4 linked regions of the Caenorhabditis elegans genome follow. The protein of the gene in region 2 purifies or fractionates together with the protein of the main gene of each other region. This does not show direct contact. Each region holds a gene or a part of one and is shown on either strand. Other genes may lie near its edges.

Evidence for each region.
Region 1: the proteins of npp-10 (region 2) and npp-6 fractionate together in Caenorhabditis elegans (co-fractionation; one large-scale study listed by BioGRID). This does not show direct contact.
Region 3: the proteins of npp-10 (region 2) and npp-18 fractionate together in Caenorhabditis elegans (co-fractionation; one large-scale study listed by BioGRID). This does not show direct contact.
Region 4: the proteins of npp-10 (region 2) and T23G7.3 fractionate together in Caenorhabditis elegans (co-fractionation; one large-scale study listed by BioGRID). This does not show direct contact.

What each region holds. Positions count from the first base shown.
Region 1 is NC_003279.8:5,174,992-5,182,848, forward strand, and holds npp-6 (NUP160 middle TPR domain-containing protein), read left to right. Parts: upstream 1-1,838; 5' UTR 1,839-1,844; coding exon 1,845-1,926; intron 1,927-1,980; coding exon 1,981-2,285; intron 2,286-2,333; coding exon 2,334-2,459; intron 2,460-2,509; coding exon 2,510-3,153; intron 3,154-3,211; coding exon 3,212-3,542; intron 3,543-3,587; coding exon 3,588-3,775; intron 3,776-3,833; coding exon 3,834-4,125; intron 4,126-4,537; coding exon 4,538-4,861; intron 4,862-4,905; coding exon 4,906-5,033; intron 5,034-5,079; coding exon 5,080-5,966; intron 5,967-6,011; coding exon 6,012-6,146; intron 6,147-6,188; coding exon 6,189-6,537; intron 6,538-6,582; coding exon 6,583-6,729; intron 6,730-6,776; coding exon 6,777-7,080; intron 7,081-7,131; coding exon 7,132-7,467; 3' UTR 7,468-7,662; downstream 7,663-7,857. Other genes in the region: spd-5 (Spindle-defective protein 5), read right to left, coding at 1-192, 240-427, 479-530; slx-1 (Structure-specific endonuclease subunit SLX1 homolog), read left to right, coding at 7,745-7,857.
Region 2 is NC_003281.10:6,013,552-6,021,404, reverse strand, and holds the start of npp-10 (Nuclear pore complex protein Nup98), read left to right. Parts: upstream 1-1,842; 5' UTR 1,843-1,856; coding exon 1,857-2,070; intron 2,071-2,118; coding exon 2,119-2,319; intron 2,320-2,361; coding exon of another isoform or gene 2,362-2,367; coding exon 2,368-2,823; intron 2,824-2,869; coding exon 2,870-3,096; intron 3,097-3,141; coding exon 3,142-4,887; intron 4,888-4,935; coding exon 4,936-5,022; coding exon of another isoform or gene 5,023-5,037; exon of another isoform or gene 5,038-5,232; intron 5,233-5,307; coding exon 5,308-5,799; intron 5,800-5,921; coding exon 5,922-6,919; intron 6,920-6,966; coding exon 6,967-7,422; intron 7,423-7,472; coding exon 7,473-7,632; 3' UTR 7,633-7,853. Other genes in the region: Ubiquitin carboxyl-terminal hydrolase cyk-3, read right to left, coding at 47-311, 358-594, 644-760, 809-962, 1,003-1,073, 1,121-1,193. UniProt on the Caenorhabditis elegans protein: Nup98 and Nup96 play a role in the bidirectional transport across the nucleoporin complex (NPC). Required for the nuclear import of hcp-4 during mitotic prophase, this step is essential for centrosome assembly and resolution.
Region 3 is NC_003281.10:13,295,264-13,299,514, forward strand, and holds npp-18 (Nucleoporin SEH1), read left to right. Parts: upstream 1-1,589; 5' UTR 1,590-1,593; coding exon 1,594-1,659; intron 1,660-1,714; coding exon 1,715-1,825; intron 1,826-1,870; coding exon 1,871-1,932; intron 1,933-1,983; coding exon 1,984-2,051; intron 2,052-2,101; coding exon 2,102-2,489; intron 2,490-3,076; coding exon 3,077-3,333; intron 3,334-3,383; coding exon 3,384-3,523; 3' UTR 3,524-3,730; downstream 3,731-4,251. Other genes in the region: pgm-2 (Phosphoglucomutase-2), read left to right, coding at 4,116-4,251. UniProt on the Caenorhabditis elegans protein: Probable component of the nuclear pore complex (NPC) which is involved in the trafficking of macromolecules between the cytoplasm and nucleus. As a component of the GATOR complex may function in the amino acid-sensing branch of the TORC1 signaling pathway.
Region 4 is NC_003280.10:9,165,412-9,169,657, forward strand, and holds T23G7.3 (G-patch domain-containing protein), read right to left. Parts: upstream 2,420-4,246; 5' UTR 2,390-2,419; coding exon 2,307-2,389; intron 2,261-2,306; coding exon 1,958-2,260; intron 1,909-1,957; coding exon 1,401-1,908; intron 784-1,400; coding exon 658-783; 3' UTR 518-657; downstream 1-517. Other genes in the region: W07A12.8 (DapB_N domain-containing protein), read right to left, coding at 1-165, 266-292; T23G7.2 (Calcineurin-like phosphoesterase domain-containing protein), read right to left, coding at 2,631-3,036, 3,092-3,211, 3,258-3,542, 3,595-3,683, 3,734-3,838, 3,889-3,981.

The sequences.
Region 1 (7,857 bases), on a different chromosome or scaffold from region 2:
GTCTTCGGAAGTTTCAATTCTCGATTGCATTGCTAGCAAATCCTCTTCCATCAGTTTGTATTGCTCCATTTTCTCTTGAACATTTTCTTGGCCTAATTTGAGATCGACATAATCGTCCATAACTTCCTTAACTCTCTTCTGCGACGCTTCCTTTGCCTCACTATACCGGCGCTGATACATTTGCAGTTCTCCCTACAAACTCAAATCATTTCTAAATAAGCATATGATAAATTACTTACTCTCAGGATAGTTATTTTTGTTTTAAGCGCTTTGTTTTCTTCCCATGTTTGGATGATGGGGATGCTACGAACATCAGCAGACGAAAATGCTCCTGACAATACTTGCTGTTGAGTGGCACTGGTCGAAGACGTTCTTTTGTCTCCTTCAACATTCAGAACTGGTTGCGACATAGATCTTCGTGGCTGGCCTAAAAAACCTTTGCATTTATGCAGTTATTGATTTTAAATGTTATAATTACCCTCGACATGCTCGAGATTGGAGTCCTCGTTGAGCACAGAATTATCCTCCATTTAACGCGAAGTTTTCTGAAACAAGAAACGGGTTCGAAAACAAAATTGAGCGTTTTTTTGGGATTAAGAGTTTTGAGTCAAAATGAACAGGAGGTTGCAAAATTTGAAGCTTCAGCACCGTTCTTTGGGCGTGCATAATCATGAAAAACAAGTGCGGACCAACTTTTGTTACTATGGAAACGTAAGAATTTCGCGGACGCGGAGAAAATTCAAAATTCACGTTTAGGCGCGCGTTTTTCTGAGGCCCCACGAAAAGGGGAGCAGAACGAAAAGGGGATCTGCAAAAAGGGGAGATACGAAAAGGGGAGCAACGAAAAGGGGAGCTGGCACTGTGCCAAACGCACAAAACGCAATTTTTCTCACGCAACGCACGTTGATTTTTGAAATTTTCTTCTAGAAGATACGCTTAACAACACGCGACGCGTAACATCGGAGCCGATGCACCATGTTTCGGATCGGTATAGGTTCAAAAGTGGTAGAATTATATAATTTATTACTGATAAATCCGTTAAATGATAAAAATGAGAAAGCTCATATATTTAACATGCGACCTGCCGGTCCAAGAGTAAAACGAAGAAGTGACGATTTCCTTGCGTGGTGTCGACGTGTTGGGGTTTGATGTGCATGTGTGGTAGTACTGTAACACGCGTGACGTGTGTGTCTTTTGGCGCGGCTTTCAAACAGGAGTTTCCCGGCTTTGTCATTGTTGATGACTCAGTATTCTGCGTATTCGCGACAATCGTTGTATCGTTTTCTTCGAGAAAAATAGCGTTTGGCACAGTGCCAGATCCCCTTTTCGTTGCTCCCCTTTTCGTATCTCCCCTTTTCGTATCTCCCCTTTTCGCAGATCCCCTTTTTGCAGATCCCCTTTTCGTGGGGCCTCGTTTTTCTTGACAGAGAAAAAGTGTGCGCATGTTGCGAAATACCATGCGGCGGTATTGCTCATGCAGCCACGCCCCTTATTTTTGAATTCGAATGGAGCTCCATATGGAGGCGTTTTCGGCTCAATTCATCATTGTTTTGTAAAATTTTACATCGCAAAGTGTCAAAATATGAAGCTTATTGTAAAAACTCACAAATTTCTAACAAGTTTTTCTTTGAATCCAATGAGAACCTTCTCGATAAGTGATTAAAATTTAAAGTGAATTGTTTTCTTCCATTTTTTCACGTATAAAAAAACGTATAAAAAACAAGTAAAACAAGTTCACGCCAATGAAAAATTGTTTTTAACGATATTTAAATATTTTTGAACGTGTTTATTTCATCTCCATATTTCTCTTTTGCTTTAACATCGTGTTTTATGCTTAATTTCAGATGGAGCTGGTTTACGGGTCGGAAATCAGCTTCACGGATGGATTTGCTATAAAGCCGGCTAGAACTTTTGTGGTAAACACCAGTAAGTTTCAATTTCATTAAATAATTGTTTCTACAACAAATTTCACTTTTTTAGATGCGCCGCTTCATTCGAATGGATTTGATGTGCAACCGTCCGCAGGAGTTGCAACATTTCCGCACTGCTCAAATTACGGCGATCGGATTTTCCTGTGGCGTGCGATTGGCCAGAAACTGTTCATTGAGGAGCGTTCTTTGCTCTACTCAATCACGGATGGATCGTTGTGCATTGACTTCACACGCACACCTATTATTCCTGGAACATCGATAACAATTTTCGAGGAAGGGGTTTTATGTATTGTCGTTCCCACAGCTTCTGCAATTCATCGTTTCTACGCGAGACTCCACTCCAAAGGCCATGATGTTTGTTCTCAAAAATTTCCATAATCGAATGAGAATAATTATTTTCAGACGTTCTCAATTCTTGCAAGAATTAAAGAAGATGACGATTTCCGCCGATTCAGAACATCTCACTCCCTTTCAACACCAGGGCGCCCGATTCGTGCAAGTGTTACACATCATCCTTCAAGAAATACGGTATAAAAATGGAAATTGATTACAACCTATATTTCGAATTTTGAATTCAGATTTCTTACTGTACCGCTGAAGGGCAGTTGGTCATTGTCACATTGGGATCATACACGGAATCCAGTGATAAACACGAAGAATTCACAATGGGAGAAGTTGGTCTTCTGGGAAAACTTCTAGGTGGCACTGATAAACGAGTCAGTGATGCATGTGTTATGAAGAATCTTCGCCCGACTTCTGGAGTCACGAGAGAGCGAAAAATTTCAGTCCAATCCGATATTGTGTTCGCTGTTACCAGAGACGGATGGGTGCAAGCATGGAATGTTGAGACGAAAAAACAATTGCCAAGCACTATTGACTTGAATAACTACTTTGCTTCAGACGGAAAATCTTTGAATCGAGATCTAGAATCTGCAGACTTCGAGGAAGAAAAGTCTCCAATGGAACCAACTGAAACTGTATATTCTATCAGAGCTTATTCATTCGATGTGGATATTCTTCTGATTGTTGGATGTGATTTGGCAGTTTCGGGAAAAAGCGTCGGGATGAGAGTTCATATTCTCAAAGTTTCAAATGATCAAATTCAACATCTACAAATGTTCGAAACATCGATGTCCGTTGATGAACGACTTGTTGATCTCGAGCTTATTCAAAACTATTTCCCATCAAAGGAATCGGAAAGTCTTGATGAGACACAAGATGGGTAAGAATCGTTGTTATAAAATGGGTTTTTTTCTTGTCTAAATATAAAATTGTTTCAGGGAATTGTATAATCCTCTCACAGCTGCACTATTTTCACTTTCTGCTCTTTTCAAAAGTTCATCTGCAAAGAAAACCTATTCGATGAAACGGATCTCATTTGCTATCCAATGGAAAAAGGGACGAGTTTTCACAGATTTCGATTGGCATTCCGTTCGTCAGTTCACTTCGCCTGCCACTACCAAAGAAGAACCGATCGGCAATACGGATGAAGTGGAACCTGCAATTGAGCGCCCATATAACCTCTCGGCAGATTCAAGCATAGAAACACTGATTGATGTGGTTTTTGATACAGATATCTATCCATTTGATATTGTTTTCCGTGCTGTCCAGGTGGCTAAATAGAAAATGTGATACGTTTTTAATGTCTCTTTTCAGATTGTTTCCGACAATTTCCGCGGTACACTTGGTCAGGTACGGAACAATAATTGGCCTGAACTATCGAAACTTGTGGACACATACCTCACATCAGTTGAATTCAACCGGAAATTTCAGCAGAAGACTGATAGAAGTATTCGTTTGAGATTAAATGCTCCACAAGAATCGCAGAAAACTGCGCTGAAAGAGTATGTTTATTTTTATGCCTGCAGTAATAATAATATTTTGAAACCGAATTACTTCCAGTTTCTGGTGGGCTCTTCTCCGTGCATGTGAAGAACTGGATTTCGCCGCTCGCGGTGCTATTTCACTCGCTCCAATTCAATTTTGCGGAGATTTGAGAATAATGGCAGTTGTTCATCGCGATCGAATGACTTTCCTCGGCGATAATAATACCGAGTTCCTTGAAATTATTAGCTCAGAGAACATCCCGAAACAAGGAAATGTCGAAGAAAAGTTCAGAAAGTTGCCGAACAAACATTTCATTGATTTGATTGAAGAAGCATCAAAGTTTGCTGATAGACGTGTATTCTTGATGGTAAGTTTTGATCAGGGGTCTTCGGCGATTCTACAAAATGTTATATTGCGTCATGTTGGTCCGATATTTTTCATTAAAAATTAGTTGCAATATAAAAATATTTATCTGTAAAATGGCATTTGTTCCAGATCGAACACTTGGAGACGTTCTTAAAAATAGTTTGGAAGTTGCGAATTGACAAATTATCGAGTTTGTTTTTCGGCAATTGGCAATTTTCAGACCATTTTTCTGGATTTTCTTAGATGTTTCAACTGGATTTAGTGTTATTTTCAGATAAATACACTGACTTTCTGTATATTGAGGCTAGTTTTTAATGAAAAATAGGAACAGCATGGCGAATTAGTCCATTTTTTAGAATTCATTCCTGGTTCTGATGAAAACAAATTCGAAATTATGGCGTTTTTTTTTTCAGAATCGTGAGAGAGCTAGGCTTACAAATGCCAAGAACGGAGTCGCCGTGGTCGAGGATGATAATGTCGAAAATGCATATGATTACGATTCAGACGGCCGATTCATCAACATTAAAACTGCGCTTGAAGGTCCAATTGTGAAACTTGCTGCTGCATTTGTCGAAGCGTCCACATTTGATAACTCGAAACCGTTTGAAGACCCACATCCTCAAATTTTTGGAGGATCTTTCACACAAAGTGTTGTATCGGCCAATATTCGAGTTTCTGTAGAGTCACGTGTTCATTTTGCACTCACACTACAAACATTGCTCAACGCAATCACTGAGGTAACGTTATTATTTCTCATTCTCGCAATCTTACACATTATCAGAAATTGCAGAAGAAATCTCGTGCTGGCGCCCCTTCATTTGGAGATGTTGAGGCCTTGTCATGTGAATTAAGAGAGATCATTCGTGTGTATAGAGAACTCAATGAACAACTGGACATCAAGATTGTGCAGTAAGAAACATTTATTGCAACATTCAAAAAAATGTAATTATTTCAGAAACGGAGCCAAAATGAGCATTGGAACATGGTTGACATCGGACGCCGAGGGACTTTCAATGATGAAGAAAGAGGGTGGTTACGGACCACATGGCTATGATGAAATTCGAGAAAATGACTTCAATTGGTTCGTTGGCGTGACAACTGAAGCTGCGATTCGAGCTCTACTTTCATCATCTGAAATTCTTGTTCTACCGCGGCGACTTGTTCTGCAGAAGCAATATAAAGTTCTGCTCACGATACTCAACTCATACATCAGTGAAACTCGCGCGTTGAAGCCTGTGATCACATTTTATCGTGGTATTGCTTATTCTGGAACAGATCATCCTGTTAAAGCACTAAATTCTTTTCAATCCTGTCTCGATGCGTTTTCGGAAGGAAACAATGCTCTCCGTAAAGCGGTGTACTTCTTGCTTCCAAAACGATTTGACGTTGCACAAGGAAAAGATCCAGTTGAAGAATTGACCGCTTCTGAATATTTTTTGACAGTTGTCCGGTTTCTTCAAGAGCATAATCATGCGGAGGAAGTGTGCTCTGTCGCAGTGAAAGCAATTGAAAATCTTCCGATTGAGAATGAAAGCGTGCAATTGATTTCTAATACTCTGTTCAACCATTTGACTAATCGTCGTGAGTGGTTCCAATCACTCAAGCTTATTCTCAGGACAACACTGCGATCTGAAACTCGGAGAGCTTCGATTCGCGAGCTTCTATCTCTAATGCTTGCTTGTGGAGAATGGGAAGCAATTGCTACAATGAAGTTTGGAGAGCATGAGCAGGTTGTTGAAGACTTTTTGAGAGATGCTGCATGTCGTCAATCACCAAGTGAGAAGAAGCACTATTTCGAGTTACTCTTTGCGTTTTACGTCGCTAGAAAAGACTTTAGAAAAGGTAATTCTCCAAGTTTTAAATAAAGCGCACTTAATTTATTTACAGGAGCTTGTGCAATGTACGAATATGCACGTCACATCGAGTCAACAACGTGCATGACCCCCGAACTTCTCCGCAGAAAACGTGACTGCCTTGCTGTCGTGCTCAACCTGCAATCAGTTCTTGGAATGGAGCCAGACGGTTTTTAATGTTCTGAAAATTATTCTCAAATTTGTTTTTCAGACGATCGAGCTATCTACGATGACGCTACTGACACGAATTTAGTATTTCCTGAACCTTCAGATGACGAGGATGAGCTGATCACCGAATCTGATTCGTCTGGTGAAAATGGCAAATTGCCGAGCGGAAACAAAGATAGTGGAAGTGGTACTGGCAACAATTCTTCACCTGATAATTCGAATGGAACCAGCTCGTCAGGAACAGGTGTAGATTTGGTAGCACTGAAGGCAAGGCAAATGGCATATGCACTTGGATCGGATGACATGGATACTGATGATACAGAAGATGATATGAAGGGAGGAAGTATTCCATTGTTCAAACGTAGAAAGTTGCTGGTTCTCAGTGAAAAAGAGTACGTCTTTAGAGTTTGTTCATAGAGTTCATTGTTTTCTTTCAGTATTCGTGATGAATTGGTCTTATGTTCCGCACGAGTTGGTCTTCTTTCTTCTGATCAATTCAAGGGAGTTCCACCGACTGATCTTAACGAATTATTTTCATTGCTTGTTGATAATCAACATTTTGATGAAGCATTCGACATTGCAAGGTGATTTTTATAAAAGATAGAGGATGATAAAACATAAATATATTCAGGCAATTCAATCTGGATTCCCACAGGCTATTCTTTACCATGACACGTGAAGCAATAATGATTGATGCTCTTCGGGATGACCTCAACATCGAAATGGCAGCAACTCATCAAGCCGGATGGGTTCGTCTTAACCGCAGGCACTGTGCTGCCGTCGCTACCGCTGAAGAACATTGGTCGGTGGTTCGTGGGTTGGTTGATGCGGCTCAAGCAGAATGGCCTGGAGATTCTAGACCACTTCGAGGATCCACTGAAGCGTTTCTTAGTTTTAAGCTGAATGTTCCTGTCTGGTTGCACAGTGTTTTTGAGGTTTGTTAGCTGAATAGAGAATAGCTTTAAAATATTTTTCAATTATTTCAGAATAATGACGCTAACGATTACCTTAGATGTCTCGTGGATTATGAAAGTTATTCAATTGCTCTTCAAGTTCTCAGTGATATTGTCGAACAAGAAACTCTACAAGCTTCCCAGTCAAATGCAAGAACCTGGCTTCCATACGGAATCATTGATGAATTGATGATCAGGAGTGCCGATTATATCCGGAAAATGAGTCTAAAATCTCCAGAAGACCAAGTAGTAGCTGCAGAAGTTGCAAATTTGAGAAAAAGTGCTGATCAGAAAATGTTGATCTATTTCCGAAAAGTGGCTGACTTCGAGCAAGCTCAAAAAATGAGCAGTAGATTCTTTGATAAATAATTTATATTTTCTATCCCATTGTATTTCTTAAAATTGATTCCTCTCCACTTTTCATCTCACATTTTCAACAGGTGTTTTTTCAATTAAGGATTATCTTTTGTGTTATATTCATTTTCGCTGATTGTTATTACTGTTTTATTCTCATTCTCATATTATCCGGTTACGACGAGATGAATGAAATTTTCAATGAAAATTATTATTTCCGAGAGAAAAAAGGATAATCCGTTACCGCATACTTTGCCGCTTAAAACCGTTATAGACAAAATATAAAATTTAGATGGAGACATTCATATTGTCGTCTGATTCTGATGATGATTCTGGACCACCACCATCAAAAAGAAGAACAATTGAAGGAATTCCTAGGAGCTTTAGTGGAGATAAGAAAATTAG
Region 2 (7,853 bases):
CTGAAATTCAAAGTTATTTAAACTGAGAATTGAAAGCTACACTAACTTCACAATTTGTAATTCCATTTTCCGTGACTCTGGTCTCAATCCGAGACAAATGTGTCCGATTTGAAGAGCCATAGAATAATATTCATTGACATATTTTTCGTTTTCCTGTGCCCATATTCCAAAATCAACGAGAGCAGATTTCCCATTCGATGATTTTGTGACAGTCTGATGTTCTTCTGGGACATTAAGATCTTTGTACATGTTAGAAAGTTCTTCGTCAGACAGAAGTTTGTCACAGTCGACGTCCCAGATTCGTGCCAACTCTAAAACAACTTTTTAGTTTCTCAAAATAATTTCTTAAAAACTCACGAGAAATTCTCCCTGGTAGAGGTCCACGACAAAGAGCCGAAAGTGTACAAACGAGCTCTCTGAAGTCAATTTGACCATCTCGATTCTCATCGAAAACAGCGAATAATCTCTCAGCATAACTATCCGGGAAGCATCCACCCAATGCTTGTTTCCACTTCTCTTCATTCAGTTTGCAGACAGCTCGATCACTGATCGTGGCGAACACTTTCTCTAACTCGATAACCTCGTTCACGGATACTGAAAAATGGTTTTTGAAATACGGAAATCAAGATAATTTAAATCTTACAATGCGTCACATAAGACATCACTTCGTAAAATGAGATATAGGAATCATTGAGCGGAATCGTAAGCTTAGGAGGACTCAATCCCCATGACGCGAACTCGTGATATTCTTCGATAAACCCTGAAAATAAATAATTTAATATTATTTCTGAAATGTTTCTTGACTGACTCGATTGTACTTCTTCTACTCTACACAATCCAACAAGAGATGAAAGCAAATTGTCAAAGGAAATGGTTTCAGCGCCATGAGAGAAGAAGCTGAACAGCAGGCGTCGTTTTTCTTCTGGTATCTGCGCGCCTCCGAGAACATGATAGCAGAATTCCTTAAATGGTGAAGTTAAAAAAATAATTAAAAACAGTTACGTCATAATTAATGCATCCATTTTTGAAGCGTTGGAAAGCTTGGCGAATTCGTCGATACTCCTCGTCCGATACTAAAAATTTGAGTTTATGTTTGTTTTGTAACATCCCTGAAACTCACTATAAGTTTTAGCATCTTCCGCACTGATAATCGGTGCGATAGCGTTCGAACGTCCAGTTAACGTGTTACCCATTTCGGATTATGGCATTTGAGCATCTGAACCAGATTTTCTTGCCGAATCTGAAAGAAAAAATGTAAAAATCAATTTATTTGAAAAGAAAAGCATTTGTAAAAGTTTTTCAGTGGAGACCGACTTTAGAACGATTATGGAAAACAGTTTATTCCAATAAACCCCACGAAAAAACACGAATTGCGGGAAAAAATAAAAGACTTGTCGAGAACTGTCAAAAACCCTCGCGCAGTGAGACAGTGTGTGAACTTAAGAGACGCAGGGTGTATAATGCAAACTCGCTCTGTTGCGATTTCAGAATCACTTCGAAAAAATTTTTGCATTCGAAATCATTTCGCTCATTTTTTCATCTCGAGTTTGGTTGTAGAAGTTGTTCTCCCATTTTTTGTGTTATTCTTGCACATTTTCAGTCATAAATATGTACCTGTAACCTGATCAATCAATCAATGTCCGTCTAGTCGCATTAGCGTGCAATTTGAGTGTAGAGTAATTCCGATTTGGAAATCCTAAAGTACATTTTCAAGTAAATGCTATCTTTTTGGTTGTATGAAAACTTGTGACAGCTCTTAGCAGAATGTTCATGACAACCGCCTTTCATTCACTGCAAATTATTACTTGCTCATCGCTTCATCTATAACCGTCTCATCAATTGCAAGTTTCAGCTAAATGTTCGGCCAGAACAAATCATTCGGCTCATCGAGTTTTGGCGGTGGCAGCTCTGGGAGCGGTCTATTTGGACAAAACAACCAGAACAATCAAAACAAAGGATTGTTTGGTCAGCCAGCCAATAACAGTGGAACTACTGGCCTTTTCGGGGCGGCACAGAACAAGCCGGCAGGATCAATCTTCGGAGCGGCCAGCAACACTTCCAGCATATTCGGTATTTTGATCAATAATTGTATGCGTTTGATTTATTTTAATATTTTAGGAAGTCCGCAGCAGCCTCAGAACAACCAGAGTTCATTGTTCGGTGGAGGGCAGAACAATGCCAACAGAAGTATCTTTGGGTCAACTTCTTCAGCAGCTCCCGCAAGCAGTTCCCTATTCGGTAACAACGCTAACAATACTGGAACCAGCAGCATTTTTGGTTCCAATAATAATGCACCATCTGGTGGAGGTCTCTTTGGAGGTAAACAATTGATTTTCGATAAATAAATTAATCTTGTATCAGCTTCAGCATCGACCGTATCTGGAACCACTGTTAAGTTTGAGCCACCGATCAGTTCTGATACTATGATGAGAAATGGGACAACTCAGACAATTTCCACGAAGCACATGTGCATTTCTGCAATGTCGAAGTACGATGGAAAGAGTATTGAAGAGCTCCGAGTGGAGGATTACATTGCAAATAGAAAGGCTCCCGGAACAGGAACGACTTCCACTGGCGGTGGGCTTTTTGGAGCATCCAACACAACAAACCAAGCTGGAAGCAGTGGGCTTTTTGGATCAAGTAATGCTCAACAGAAGACTTCTCTGTTCGGGGGAGCTTCGACGTCATCTCCATTTGGTGGGAACACGAGCACAGCAAACACTGGAAGTTCATTGTTCGGTAACAACAACGCCAACACGTCTGCTGCAAGTGGATCTCTTTTCGGAGCTAAACCAGCGGGCTCGTCACTGTTCGGATCTACAGGTAAGAATAAATCTAGCATCAACACAATTTTTAACCTTAAACTTAGCTACAACAGGAGCTTCAACATTCGGTCAGACAACTGGATCGTCTCTTTTCGGCAATCAACAACCACAGACGAATACTGGTGGATCGTTGTTCGGGAATACACAGAATCAAAATCAATCTGGGTCCCTGTTCGGCAACACGGGGACGACTGGTACCGGACTCTTCGGCCAAGCTCAGCAACAACCACAGCAACAATCGAGTGGATTCAGTTTCGGAGGTGCCCCAGCGGTGAGTTAAGATATCCTAGAATTTCAATATTTTATTAATTTTCAGGCGACAAATGCTTTCGGTCAGCCGGCTGCTGCAAACACCGGTGGAAGTCTCTTCGGAAATACTTCGACAGCCAATACTGGCAGTTCGTTATTTGGTGCGAAGCCTGCAACAAGTACCGGCTTCACATTTGGAGCCACTCAGCCAACAACTACAAATGCCTTCGGTTCCACAAATACCGGAGGTGGATTGTTTGGAAACAATGCAGCAAAGCCAGGTGGTTTGTTCGGAAATACGACGAATACTGGAACAGGCGGCGGTCTCTTTGGTTCCCAGCCACAAGCTTCTTCAGGAGGACTGTTTGGTTCAAACACTCAAGCTACACAGCCGTTGAATACTGGATTCGGAAATCTTGCTCAACCGCAAATTGTAATGCAACAACAAGTGGCCCCGGTACCTGTGATTGGCGTTACGGCTGATGTCCTCCAGATGCAAGCAAACATGAAGTCATTGAAGTCGCAGTTGACAAATGCGCCGTATGGTGATTCACCACTACTCAAATACAATGCGAATCCAGAAATTGATGGGAAGTCTTCGCCGGCTAGTACTCAACGACAGCTGAGATTCCTTGCTGCGAAGAAAGGCGCTCTGTCATCGTCTTCTGATGCACAAGATTCGTCGTTTATCATTCCACCAATCAGCAAAGTGATGAGTGATCTTTCTCCAGCAGTTACCAGGTCAGCCGATGTCACCAAAGATTTGAACTACACTTCCAAAGAAGCGCCACCATCACTTGCTCGCGGACTTCGAAACAGCACATTCAATCCGAATATGTCGCTGACAAATCGAAGTGTTCACGAATCAAGTGCCCTCGACAAAACTATCGACTCAGCTCTGGATGCTTCCATGAATGGAACTTCAAATCGTCTTGGAGTTCGTGGATCCGTGAGAAGATCGAATTTGAAGCAGTTGGACATGTCTCTGCTCGCAGATTCTTCGAGAGTTGGAAGAGAATCCCGTGTAGCTGATCCAGATGCTCTTCCTCGAATCTCTGAATCCGAAAGACGTCAAGACGTTGTCACTTCCACTCCAGCAGTTGACCCCGTTCAGGCTGTAATCCAGAGACATAATGACAGAAATAGAGATCCACCATCGTTGAACTTGGATACGACATGCGATGAGCACACTGGCTTGGAGCCGGTGTCTGCTGCAACTAGTTCAGCAGCATCTGTTGTGTCGACGCCTTCTGAAGAAACTGTTAATGTCAATTCGGCAGCAGGAGTGAAGCTTACAAAGCCCGACTACTTTTCTCTTCCGACAATCAATGAGATGAAGAACATGATCAAGAACGGACGTGTTGTGTTGGAGGATGGATTGACAGTTGGAAGATCGTCGTACGGAAGTGTCTACTGGCCAGGACGAGTCGAGCTGAAAGATGTTGCTCTCGACGAGATTGTTGTATTTCGTCATCGCGAGGTGACGGTTTATCCGAATGAAGAAGAGAAAGCTCCAGAAGGTCAAGAACTGAATAGGCCAGCAGAAGTGACACTCGAAAGAGTATGGTACACTGATAAGAAGACCAAGAAAGAAGTGCGAGATGTCGTGAAACTCTCCGAGATTGGTTGGCGCGAGCATCTCGAGAGACAAACGATTCGGATGGGAGCCGCATTCAAAGATTTTCGTGCAGAAACTGGAAGCTGGGTCTTCCGTGTGGACCATTTCAGCAAGTATGGATTGGCCGACGATGATGAGCCAATGGATGGGTCCCCTCCACAGCAAGCACTACAGGCATCTTCTCCATTACAAGTGGTAAATTTTTAAAACTCATTTTACCCTTTTACACAAATAGTTTTCCAGATCGACATGAATACATCTGCTCGAGACGTGAACAATCAAGTGCAAAGAAAGAAGGTGCACAAGGCAACGGATGCTCACCATCAAGAGGTCCGTTTTGAATGATTGTCACTCACTATAATTCAATCATCACCGTATTTTAATTTTCCTTCTAAACGTTTTGCTGTTTCATTTAAAAATTTTCTGCTTTCATTCTTAGCATTTCACATGACTGCTTGCCAATACCATCTAGGGCAGGCTAAAGACTCAAATTATTCTCGTTTATTCTTTTCTAACTCAATAAATTTGTTTTTAAAATTAGCCTCTTCAAATGGTATTGGTAGACAGACCGTTTAGGGTTTAATATGGAGAGCCATCAGCAGTTATTTGTTTCAGATAATTCTGGAACGAGTTCCGGCACCTGCTGCATTAGGTGATGTTGTGCCGATCATTCGTCGTGTTAACCGAAAAGGTCTTGGTGGTGGAACATTGGATGATAGTCGAGAAGAATCATGCATCGGAAATATGACCACCGAATTCAATGAAAGTGGTCATGATTCAATTATTGAAGAAGGTCAGCAGCCGGAAAAGAAGCCGAAACTTGAACTTCTCGCTGATTTGGAATACGAAAGCAGTCGATTCATTCGCAATCTCCAGGAACTGAAAGTCATGCCGAAGGCCAACGACCCAGCTCATCGGTTCCACGGTGGTGGACACTCTGCTAAAATGATTGGATATGGAAAGAGCAAACTGATTGATATAGGAATTGTGAAGGGAAGAAGTTCACATGTCGGATGGAGTGAAACTGGATGTCTTGTGTGGTCAGCTCAACCCCGACACAATCAAGTACTCTTTGGGACAATTGATAGAACATCGGACGTGAATGAGGTAATATTTGTGACTTTATAAAAGCCCTTCTGTGATTTACAGTCTATTTGTCAATTGGATTTCTAAGTACTTTTTTACACCGTTCTCTTCTATGGCCCATTTTTAATTTAATCAATTTTCAGAACACGCTAATCTCAATGCTTGATGTGAATGTTCATGTATCTGAAACCAGTCGCAAGGGTCCATCTTCACAATCCAACTCGGTTAAATCTTCGCTCACTTCTAACTTCGTCACTTATTCTGACTCATATTCATCCATGTTTGCCAAGTACATCGATGTCGCTCAAGCTGGTGGATATGATGGACATGTTTCTGTTTGGAAGTTGATATCTGCTCTATTCCCATATGAACGTCGAGAAGGATGGTCTTTCGAGCGTGGTGAAGAAATTGGAGAATGGCTTAGAACAGAAGCAGTGAAGTCTGTTCCAGACGATAGAAGTGCGGATACATCTTCAAATGGTGTTTGGAATCAACTCTGTCTTGGAGACATCGATAAAGCTTTTCAAATTGCGATTGATAATAATCAGCCACAGCTTGCTACGATGCTTCAGACTTCTGCTGTGTGCCCAGAAGCTACTGTTCATTGCTTTAAAGCACAACTTGACAACTGGAAGAAATGCGAAACTCTTCATTTGATTCCGAAGGAAACTCTCAAATGCTATGTTCTGATGTCAGGACTATCACACTACGAATGGGATCAAGACGGAAAGAATCATTCGATCAACTGTCTTGATGGACTCAATTGGATTCAAGCACTCGGTTTGCATGTCTGGTATCTTCGTGCATGGACTGGTCTAGAAGAATCTTACGATGCTTATCAGAAAGATGTCAATGCTGGCCGTGCCGCTTCTAATCGTGGAGATCTGCCCGGAGAACTCATCAAATTGGCATGTGAATCACAGCACTCAGTGGAAGTTGTACTTGACTGTGCAGCTGGAGAAAATCCCAACGATTATTTCCTTCAATGGCACGTATGGAGCTTGCTCTATTCGGTTGGATACCGTACAATGTCAAAGACTTCGGAAACAAGACTTCACAGAAACTATTCATCTCAATTGGAAGCATCAAGTCTCTCAAAATATGCATTGTTTGTTTTGCAGCACATTGATGATGATGAAGAGTGAGTTGAATTTTAGAATCTTTCAATTTATAAATATATTTATCCAGAAGATCAACAGCAGTTCGTTCCCTCCTCGACCGTATTGCTCGTTTCACCGACAATGATATGTTTGATTCTATTTCCGAACAGTTCGATATTCCTTCGGAATGGATTGCTGATGCTCAATTCTCAATTGCAAAGTCAGTCGATGATTCTACCCAACTTTTCGAATTGGCTGTGGCTGCAAAGAACTATCTGGAAATTTGTCGCTTATTTGTGGATGATATTGCACCAACTGCAGTTGTAGCTGGAGATCATGACGCTCTCAAAGCAGCATGCGCGATGGTTCGTCCTTTCGAAAATCAGATTCCCGAGTGGGGTGCGACTGGAATGGTCTACACTGATTATTGCCGATTGATCAATTTGATCGAAAATGATGCGGAAGAAGAACTCTTACAGGACGTGCTTGAAAGTCTGGAAACTCGTCTACATGCTCCTACAATCAGCAAGAACAGTCTTCAAAAGTAAGCTATTGGGACATAAGTTTTTTTTAAAACTATTTATATAATTTCAGGCTCTCTCTTCAAACAATTGGACGTGTTTTGTTCGAGTACCGTGCTGATAAGAATACACTTCCAGAGTGGACAAAGCTTCTCGGACATCGGCAAATGTTTAAGATCTTCCGTGATCGTTCGTCTTGGGGAATCGAAAGATTCACAATTGAATTTGACTAGACTAGCCACTTTTTAATTTATTCATTTTTCACCTGATTCTAATTTTATTTTTTTTATTTACATTTTCCTGCCCTCTCCGTCTGTCTTCCTCGTATATCATCATTTCCCGAATCGTCTTTTTATTACTATGAATATGAACTTTTTGTAGGATGTTATTACTGTTGTGTTCTATTCACATGAGAAAACTAGTACAGAAATTTAGAAATCAGCAAAACGATAAA
Region 3 (4,251 bases), 7.3 Mb from region 2:
AGTGTAACGTTACATCTGAAATAAATTAATGAAATGTGTGACAAAAAATAAAATTTTTTCCTAGCGATAATTCACCTAGCCACAATGTCCCCATTTTTCAGTGTTTCTCTCGGACGATAGCTTTGATTGTTGAAAATGACCAATGGAGCTCCTCGTTTCGTCGAAATACTGAAATTGCATAGTTTCTATGTTTAATTGTTTTAGAAGTTAGAAGGCATACCAAAAATCTGAACTATTCTCGCTGATATATTCCGGTGCCATTTCAAGCACCCTCTTGGGCTATTGGCAATCGGTCTATAGTGCATCAGAGAACGTAACACGTGTGACTTGCTGGAATTTTATATTTTGATAGAGTTATTGATTAATAACAACCTATTTGTCAAAAACCAATCCGGATGGTATGGAGTCTCTTCGTCTTCAAACGGAGATTGATATGAATTGTGACCTAAAAATACAACGTCTGTTATTTCTATTTAATTATTAGTTAAGACCTACACAGAAGATTGAATTCACTGGTTTCCTGTAGATCGTGATCCATTTCTTCGGGAAATACAGCTGGATCAAAATCAAAAAATCTTTCAGTATTTGCCATGGAATCTGTTGTATCCAAGCTTGTTTCCTGAGTAGAATTGGCTATTGAATCGCATTCCGGGATATCGTCAGTGGATCTCGGCTCATCGAGCTCTCGAGAATTTGAAGGAAACTGCATATACGAATCAGACCGACGTGGTGATGCAGGTGGAGTAACCAGATCGATTGTTGCAGGAGTCGATTCACATACATTTGTAGTAGACGCTTTCGGATTTCTTTTCTTCTTTAGATCCCTGTCGAACGCTGAAAAATACTTTTCACTCTTCAATTAATCTTTAGACATCAATACTTGCCTCTAAAAAAGCGTTTGGCTCCGCTTGGATCACTCTCAGCATCAAGTTCTTCTTTTTCCGGGAAGGAAATGCTCATTTTCGATTAATATTAATTTTGATCGATTCGAAATCGATTGCAACCCGTTTTTGTCATCGAAAATTCTGAAAATATCCGTATTTAGCTCGAATAAAACTAATTAATTTCCATTAAAAATCCGTTTTTAATTGAATTCCGTTCGAAATTTCCTGTTGGAAAAAGAAATAAATAAATACGAAGAAGCGTGCGGCGCATTGCAAAAAGCCGTGCGGCGCATTGCGAAGGACTGTGCGGCGGGCTTGCGAAAAGGCGCGCAGCACATTGCCCTACTGAAAGCGTTCCTTACGAAAAAATCCCCTTACGAAAACGTACCCCCTCGATTAGAATAGAACAGTTTAGCAATTTCTAACAATTAATTAAACAAAATTTGGATGAAAAGTCTTTAAAATGTATCAATTCATTGTGCCGCAATTAATTTAGGCCAACATTAAATTTAAAAATTTTACATTTACCGCATCTTCTCGTTTGTCCGAGAGGACTACACCACTCGCTCCTAGCGAGACCTTCCACCGGCGAAAGTGCCTGCGCCTTTAAATTTTGAATCTATTTTTTTGTTTCTACGCAACGATTTTTCTTCTTTTTCTCTTATTTTTCTCTAATATTCACTATAAATATTTATTAATTTTCAGAAAAATGCAAGAAGACGACTCGGTGAAACCTTTTCAGACCGTCGGCGCTCACAGAGATCTCATTCATTGTGTATGTTGGCTTGATTTCGAAAAATTAGATAAAAACTGAAGATTTTTATTTCCAGGTTTCATTCGATCCTCATGGCCGACGAATGGCAACATGTGCCAGCGATATGACAATGGCGATTTGGGATCGAAAGCCAGACGGAAATTGGCGTAGATCTGCACACTGGAAGGTAGAAAAGAAATTTCAGAAAATAAAATAATTTTCCTCATTTCAGTGTCATGGTGGAGCAGTTTGGCGCGTTATTTGGGCTCATCCGGAATTTGGGCAGATTGTTGCGTAAGAAACTAGAAACTGTCACCCGAATATACTTTATTGATTGATTTTCAGCACCTGCTCCTACGACAGAACGATTGTAATTTGGGAGGAGCAAATTGTGAGATCAGAGAAAGATCTGAGTGAGTATAATTCGCTCTAAATATAATCCAAAACATTATGTATCTCTCAGAGCAAAAAGAATCCCAATGGATCCGAAGAACAATCATCTCCGATAATCGTTCAGACGTCACCGATATCTGCTTCTCCCCGCGCCATCTGGGTCTCATGATGGCATCATGCAACGTTCTCGGAACCGTCAGAATCTACGAAGCACCGGATATTGTGGACGCTTCTCGATGGAATCTTATTCACGAGCTTCAAGCGTTTCATACCCGATGTGGATGTGTCACATGGTCACTTTCTCGTATGCACCGCCCGTTGATTGCTGTTGGTTCGGATGAGAAGAAGGCAGAGAACAAGAAACGAGTTGTGATCTATGAGAATATTGATGGATTGAGGAAATGGCAGCGAATCAACTCATTAGTCTTCGATCTACCATGCCCGATTACTGATTTGAAGTAGGAAGAACACGCTCTCCTCGGAGCCGAATAATTATTACAGCGCGCTTGCCTTTCCATTGAAAATAGCAGATTTTTCAGTATTAAAAAATCCGCTCTTTGAATAATTTTTTGTCTAGAAATTCCAAAAAATAATCGAATTTTCTAAAATCCGATATTTATCGGATTTGTGTCTAAAAATTTCAAAAACAATCGTATTTTCTTGAAAAATCCGCAATTTTATCAATTTTTTGCCTGAAAATTTTAAAAATAATTGAAATGTTCTGAAAATTCCGCTATTTTAACAAAATTCAAAAAATATTTAAAATTTTCTTGAAAAATCCGCTATTTTAACAATTTTTTGTCTAAAAATTCCAACAAAAAAAATTGAATTTTCTGGAAAAGTCCGCAGTTTTATCAATTTTTTGTCTGAAAATTCCAAAAATTATTGGAATTTTCTTGAAAAATTCGCTATTTTAATAATTTTTGTCTAAAAATTTCAAAAAAAATCGAATTTTCTTGAAAAATCCGCTATTTTATCAATTTTTTGTCTGAAAATTTCAAAAAAAAATTTCCGCTATTTTAACTATAATATTTAAAATGTTCAGATTCTCGCCGATATCGATGGTGGATTCGCATCAATTAGCCGTTGCATCAGGCGATGTTCACGTCTACAACATCAAAGTGGCTCGTTCGGCGATTCTCGAAGAAGACGGTGTCGAGAATCCGATTCAGCTGGCGGATTACAATCTGATCAAGGTGGCACTGCTCGGGGATCATCGAAAAGCATGGAGGCTTCGATATAATCTCATGGGATCAGTCATCTCGTCGACGAGCTTGGATGGAACACTGAGATCCTGGAAATGTTGGGAAAAAATCAAAAAGAGTCAAAAATGAAATAAAATTGATTTTCAGCACTCTTCGTGAACCAATGGGTAAAGCTGAGTGAGATGAATGTCGACGACTACGTTCCATCGCCTGAAGAAGTTCGCGCCTTCATCTCATCGAAAACTACCGAACGTCTTCCATCACAACTCGAGAAAACCTATTTCTAACGATATTTTTCTCTATTTTTTCTCGCCGATCATTTTTTTTCCGAATGATTTCTTATCAAAGCGTGTATTATTATTTGTTATCATCATCTGAAAACTGAAAACCGAGAACATTATCACCGATTTTTTTTTGATGTTTAAGTATTTTATCAATCTTCTGTTTAATTTTCAGATTTTTCATGCTGATCGGTTTCTGCAAGAATTAAACATTCCACTTATCTAACTTATGTAATTTTCAACGGTTTTTGTGCCTAGAAATATTTTTTGGACGTTTTTGTTAATTCTTTTTGCATTCAACATTCACCTAAATTCGAAAATTAAATATTTACTGAAACCCGATACTGTCTTTTTCACAGTTTCCACAATACCTCCATCAATTATTGTTGATTTTATCTCTTTTCCAAATCTAGGGATAGTGGGTTACTCGCAGAGAAATAGAGAAACGGCAAGGTCATTTACCTGGCCTTTTCTCATCCACACATGTCGGAATAATTGTGGTATTAGTGTCCTTATCTGCAAAATTTCGATTTTTTAAAACTTTTGTTGTCTTTTCCACAATTTTATTGCAAAATTTAAGCACTTTCTAATTTTCAGAATGACTCTTGGATGTGCAAAGCTTGACAAGCAAGTTGCCGATTGGCTCGCTTGGGATAAGAATGATAAGAATCGTAATGAAATTCAAAAGCTGGTTGATGAGAAGAACGTTGATGCATTGAAAGCTCGTATGGATA
Region 4 (4,246 bases), on a different chromosome or scaffold from region 2:
ACACATGAACTCCTCTACATTTGCACCATGATCCTTTAATATCTGAGCAACAAGCCCTATTTGCTTGAATCCATGAACTGCTACCACATTTGTTCCCTCTAAATAGTTTTCTCCAAGTTGTGCTCTTTGTTTAACATTTGCTCCGATGTAGAGGTTACCTACCATCTGGAATTGGTAACGTTTTTTAAAAATTCACTTACAATATCATAATAAAACTCTAAAACTTTGACAGATATCTAAATTTTAAATTCAAAATCCAACTTACCCTTTTAGAAATTCGAACAGCTAACATTTTTTAGTGTTGCAGCTGCAGACTTTTACGTTTTGTTCAAATTCGGCGAATCTGCTTCTTCACAACTAATCCAATTTCAATTTCAATTTCATTTTCTTCTTCTTCTTCTGCTTTTGCAGCTCCTCCTTCCTCTTTCTATTCATTACTCCCACTCCCGAAGGAGTCAATTTCAGAAAGAGCAGCAAGCTAATTATTTTCGTGCAACAAGAAAACGGGAGCACAAGCCAAGAAAACGTTTGTTTTATCTATCAAGTGTAGCAGAAGGAAAAAAGAAACAGAGTATACGAGTAGTACAACAATAAAACGGAAAACAGTAACAATAGAAATTGAAAACAAAAAATTTGGCAATTTAGTCGGTATGGAAGTTAGTGCTCATCTTCGGTGTGCTTCTTTCTTTTTCTTGGAATTTCTTCTTCATCTGCCTCCCCACCTTCAGCTCCTTCATTTTCCGGTTGTTGCTGCTCGCGGAGTCGCTTCAGACGTTTCTTTTCCTGGAACATGTGTCAATTTGAGGTTTATTCAAATAATTTTGACAATTTTGATAAAAGTGCAACCTTGTCAAGATGACACTTTCGGTAATGGGCATGTTTATAATATTATCACTCAATTTGAAGCTATGATAATAAATTGATAAACTTTTTGAAAAAAGTTAATCGAATTCAGGGAATCAAAATATTTTTTGTGCAAGAATAAAGTCAGGTATTTGATGTTTAGCACTAGATACTGTCGACCACGGGTGTCGGTTTTTCGATTTTTTGTGACTTACTCAAAGTATGTAACAAAAAATCGAAATTTTCGTTTTTTTTTCGATTTTTCGATATTTCGAAAAAATTTTCAATTAAAAAAAAATTAGCTTAAAATTTTGGTCATTTCCTTATTTTTTAAAGAAATTTTTACGTTCCTTCATCAATATAAGCTAAATTAGATTTTTTAAATCTTATTTTATGATTAATTTTCTGAACATTTTTTTCGACTTTAAGATTTTTCAGAAAATCGAAACATCGAACATTTTCGTTTTTCGATTTTCCCTCGAAATAATCGAAAAATCGAAAAAATCGAAAAACGACACCCTTGCTGTCAACCATATTTCTAAAAATAGCTTATCTACCTTTTTCAGTCGTTTACGTTCAGCTTCATCAAACTCTTCATCAATAATTTCTTCCTTAACTTCTTGTTTTACTTCCAGAATAGTTTCAACTGTTTCCAGAGTTTCTTCCTTATCTCTTTGTTCTCGTCTCAATCGTTTTCTCTCCTTTTTTTCGGCTTTTCGACGAGCTTTTTCTTCATCCGATTCTTCTTCCTCCACTTCAGTCTTTATTTCCATTTTCACTTCTGTCTGATTAGCAGCTGCAGCCTCCCGTTTTGCCTTCAAAGCAGCCATTTTTGCAGCGAAATAGTCACCGACGGATAGGGTGCTGACAGTGTTATTTCCCTCCTTTTTCTCTTGACTGTCAGCTTGGCTATCAGAACTATCAGATTTTACAGATGAATTTTCAGTTTTTTCTTCGATTTTCTCTTCGGCATTGTCAGATTTGAGTCTTCCATATCCAAGAATTCCTTTTTTGTGGCTATCGCTGTAGTTACTTGTATCCTTGGCGCGAGTGAATTTTTGATAACTAAAAATTGATATACTTATACTTTTTTAAAATGATGTTTCAAACTTACTGAATTCTTCTCCTAATCGATTTGCTTTTCAATTCAATGGAAATCTTCTCCGCAGCTGCATTCTTTTCTTCTTCCGTTTGTTCTGGTTCCTGTTCTTTATTTTTGTTCAAAGCTGCCAAAAGATCGGCGAAATCGTCGTGATGAGAAATCCATGTAGAATCATAATCAGCCATTTTGTCAGCACCAAGTCCTCTTCCAGAAGTATTTGCCTTGAGCTTCACAGAGTCTGCGTTTCCTTGACGATTTCTTCCCAGGCCATCTCCTTCGGACCATCCCATTTTCTCCATAAGCTTTTTTGACAGTCTGTAAAATGTTGATGAAACCTGATTATTGATAGGAGAAAACTTACTTCTGATCGTCATTTTTCCATGTCAAATTTTGGGGATCAATACTAATTTTTTGTTTTCTCTTCGGCTCTGCCAAAATCGACATTTTCCAAAAGAATTGAAGCGTCGATAAACCCTAAAATCACAGGAATTGAAATATAATTAGAATGATTGTATAAATAAAATATTACAGTGTTCCGAACACTGGTAAAATCAATAATGTTAAAATAAATTGGAGCAAAGAAGACACTTTTATTTCAGACAGACAGATCAAATAAATTACAACGAAATCATACAGAAAATAGTCATCGAACCGTTTTAATGAGAATTTTACATTTTACAACACATTATTCTCCCAGTAATTCCAACACCCAAACTTCGCTCATTCCAATCATTTTCATGGGTGGTCCTTGATACAATGATCCTGCCATTACCATCAATTGACCTCCAAATGGAATCTCATAGAGTCCATAAAAGTATGGTAGAAGCCAATAAACTACTGGAATAACTACGTAGAATTGTCCTGCATGAGTGTGTCCAGATAAGACAATATCAATTTCTGATAATTCTTTCGGATGATCTACGATGAATTCTCGAATTGATGCCGGATTGTGTGCCATGACGATTTGAGAAGTATTTGATGGACATCGATGGATGGCTTTTGGTAGATCCATTTTAGTGTTCAAGATTCCAGATTTCGGACTTGAAATATCGTTTACTCCAGCCAAACAGACTCCTTTCAGCATTGTACTTCTGAAAAATATCACTGTTACTTCCAAGAAAAACTCAAAAACTTTGTAAAACTTACTCGTTTTCAAGAACATTAATACGGCCATTTTTGTAGAATCTTATCCATTCCTGAACGTCTCCATAATAATATTCATGATTGCCAGTTACGAAATAAGTAGGTGCGTGAGCAGGGAGTTGACTGAAAACAAAAATTGAAATTTTGTGAATCAAACTAATTCGCCTACAGAATTGGTCGAACTCTATCCTCGATTTCCGCAACAGGAGCATCTACCATATCTCCAACAATCAGAATAGCATCAACTGGATTTTCAAGCACTTTTTCGACAACTTGATTGATTTGTTCCGAATAAACACTTGCACCAGCGTGCAAATCAGAGATCACTGCCAATTTTAATCGATTTCCATCAGCAGTGAAGTTTTTTATTTTGATGGTCTTTTCTTTGACAACAATCCAATCGCGTGATATAAACATACTGACTGACAGAAGCAAGGTGATTATCATTGTGAATCTGAAAATAACATTTTTAATGATAAGTTCCGAAATGAGATGTTTTTTGTTACTTTATTTGAGATCTTCTTTTCCACATGAGATCGTTAAAATAAGGAACCTTTCCTATTATTTCCAAAATCGAAGCGGTGTAATGGAACATCTGAGAAAATTTTTTTAAAATAATTTAAATATTATTGAAATTAATATTACCTTCATTTTTCCAGCATAGAAATTAACAATCCCAAATCCACATACGAATGCAATCATGTTAGTCCATATTCCCGCGCAGATTGAGGTGAGATCGAAGAGAAGCCACTGAAATGCAAGAGACTCTTTTAACAGCAACACAATTTCTAAAAACAAACCTGGAGAAATGCTGGGGCATAATACATAAAATAAATCGCTTGTCCGAGAACTAGGAAAATAATAAGGCCATCCGAGCATCGTTTCCGGATTGTCTGAAATGAGAATAGGTCAGTTTTTGGTGAGAAGAAGATTTAATCGATTTGAAGAGAAAAATAGTTATGGTCTTTGAAATCGTAGCAGGAAAACAAAATAAATTTTTATTTAAAAGCAAATTCTTGTTTTGCTAACTTTTTCCAACAAGAATATTGCAATTTGTTGAAATTTCAGTGTCGAACGAAAAAAAAAGAAAATTTTGTTCAGCAACAACACTCCGCCTTGACACCTCTCGCGTTGTTTATCGTCATTGATGGGTCTCGC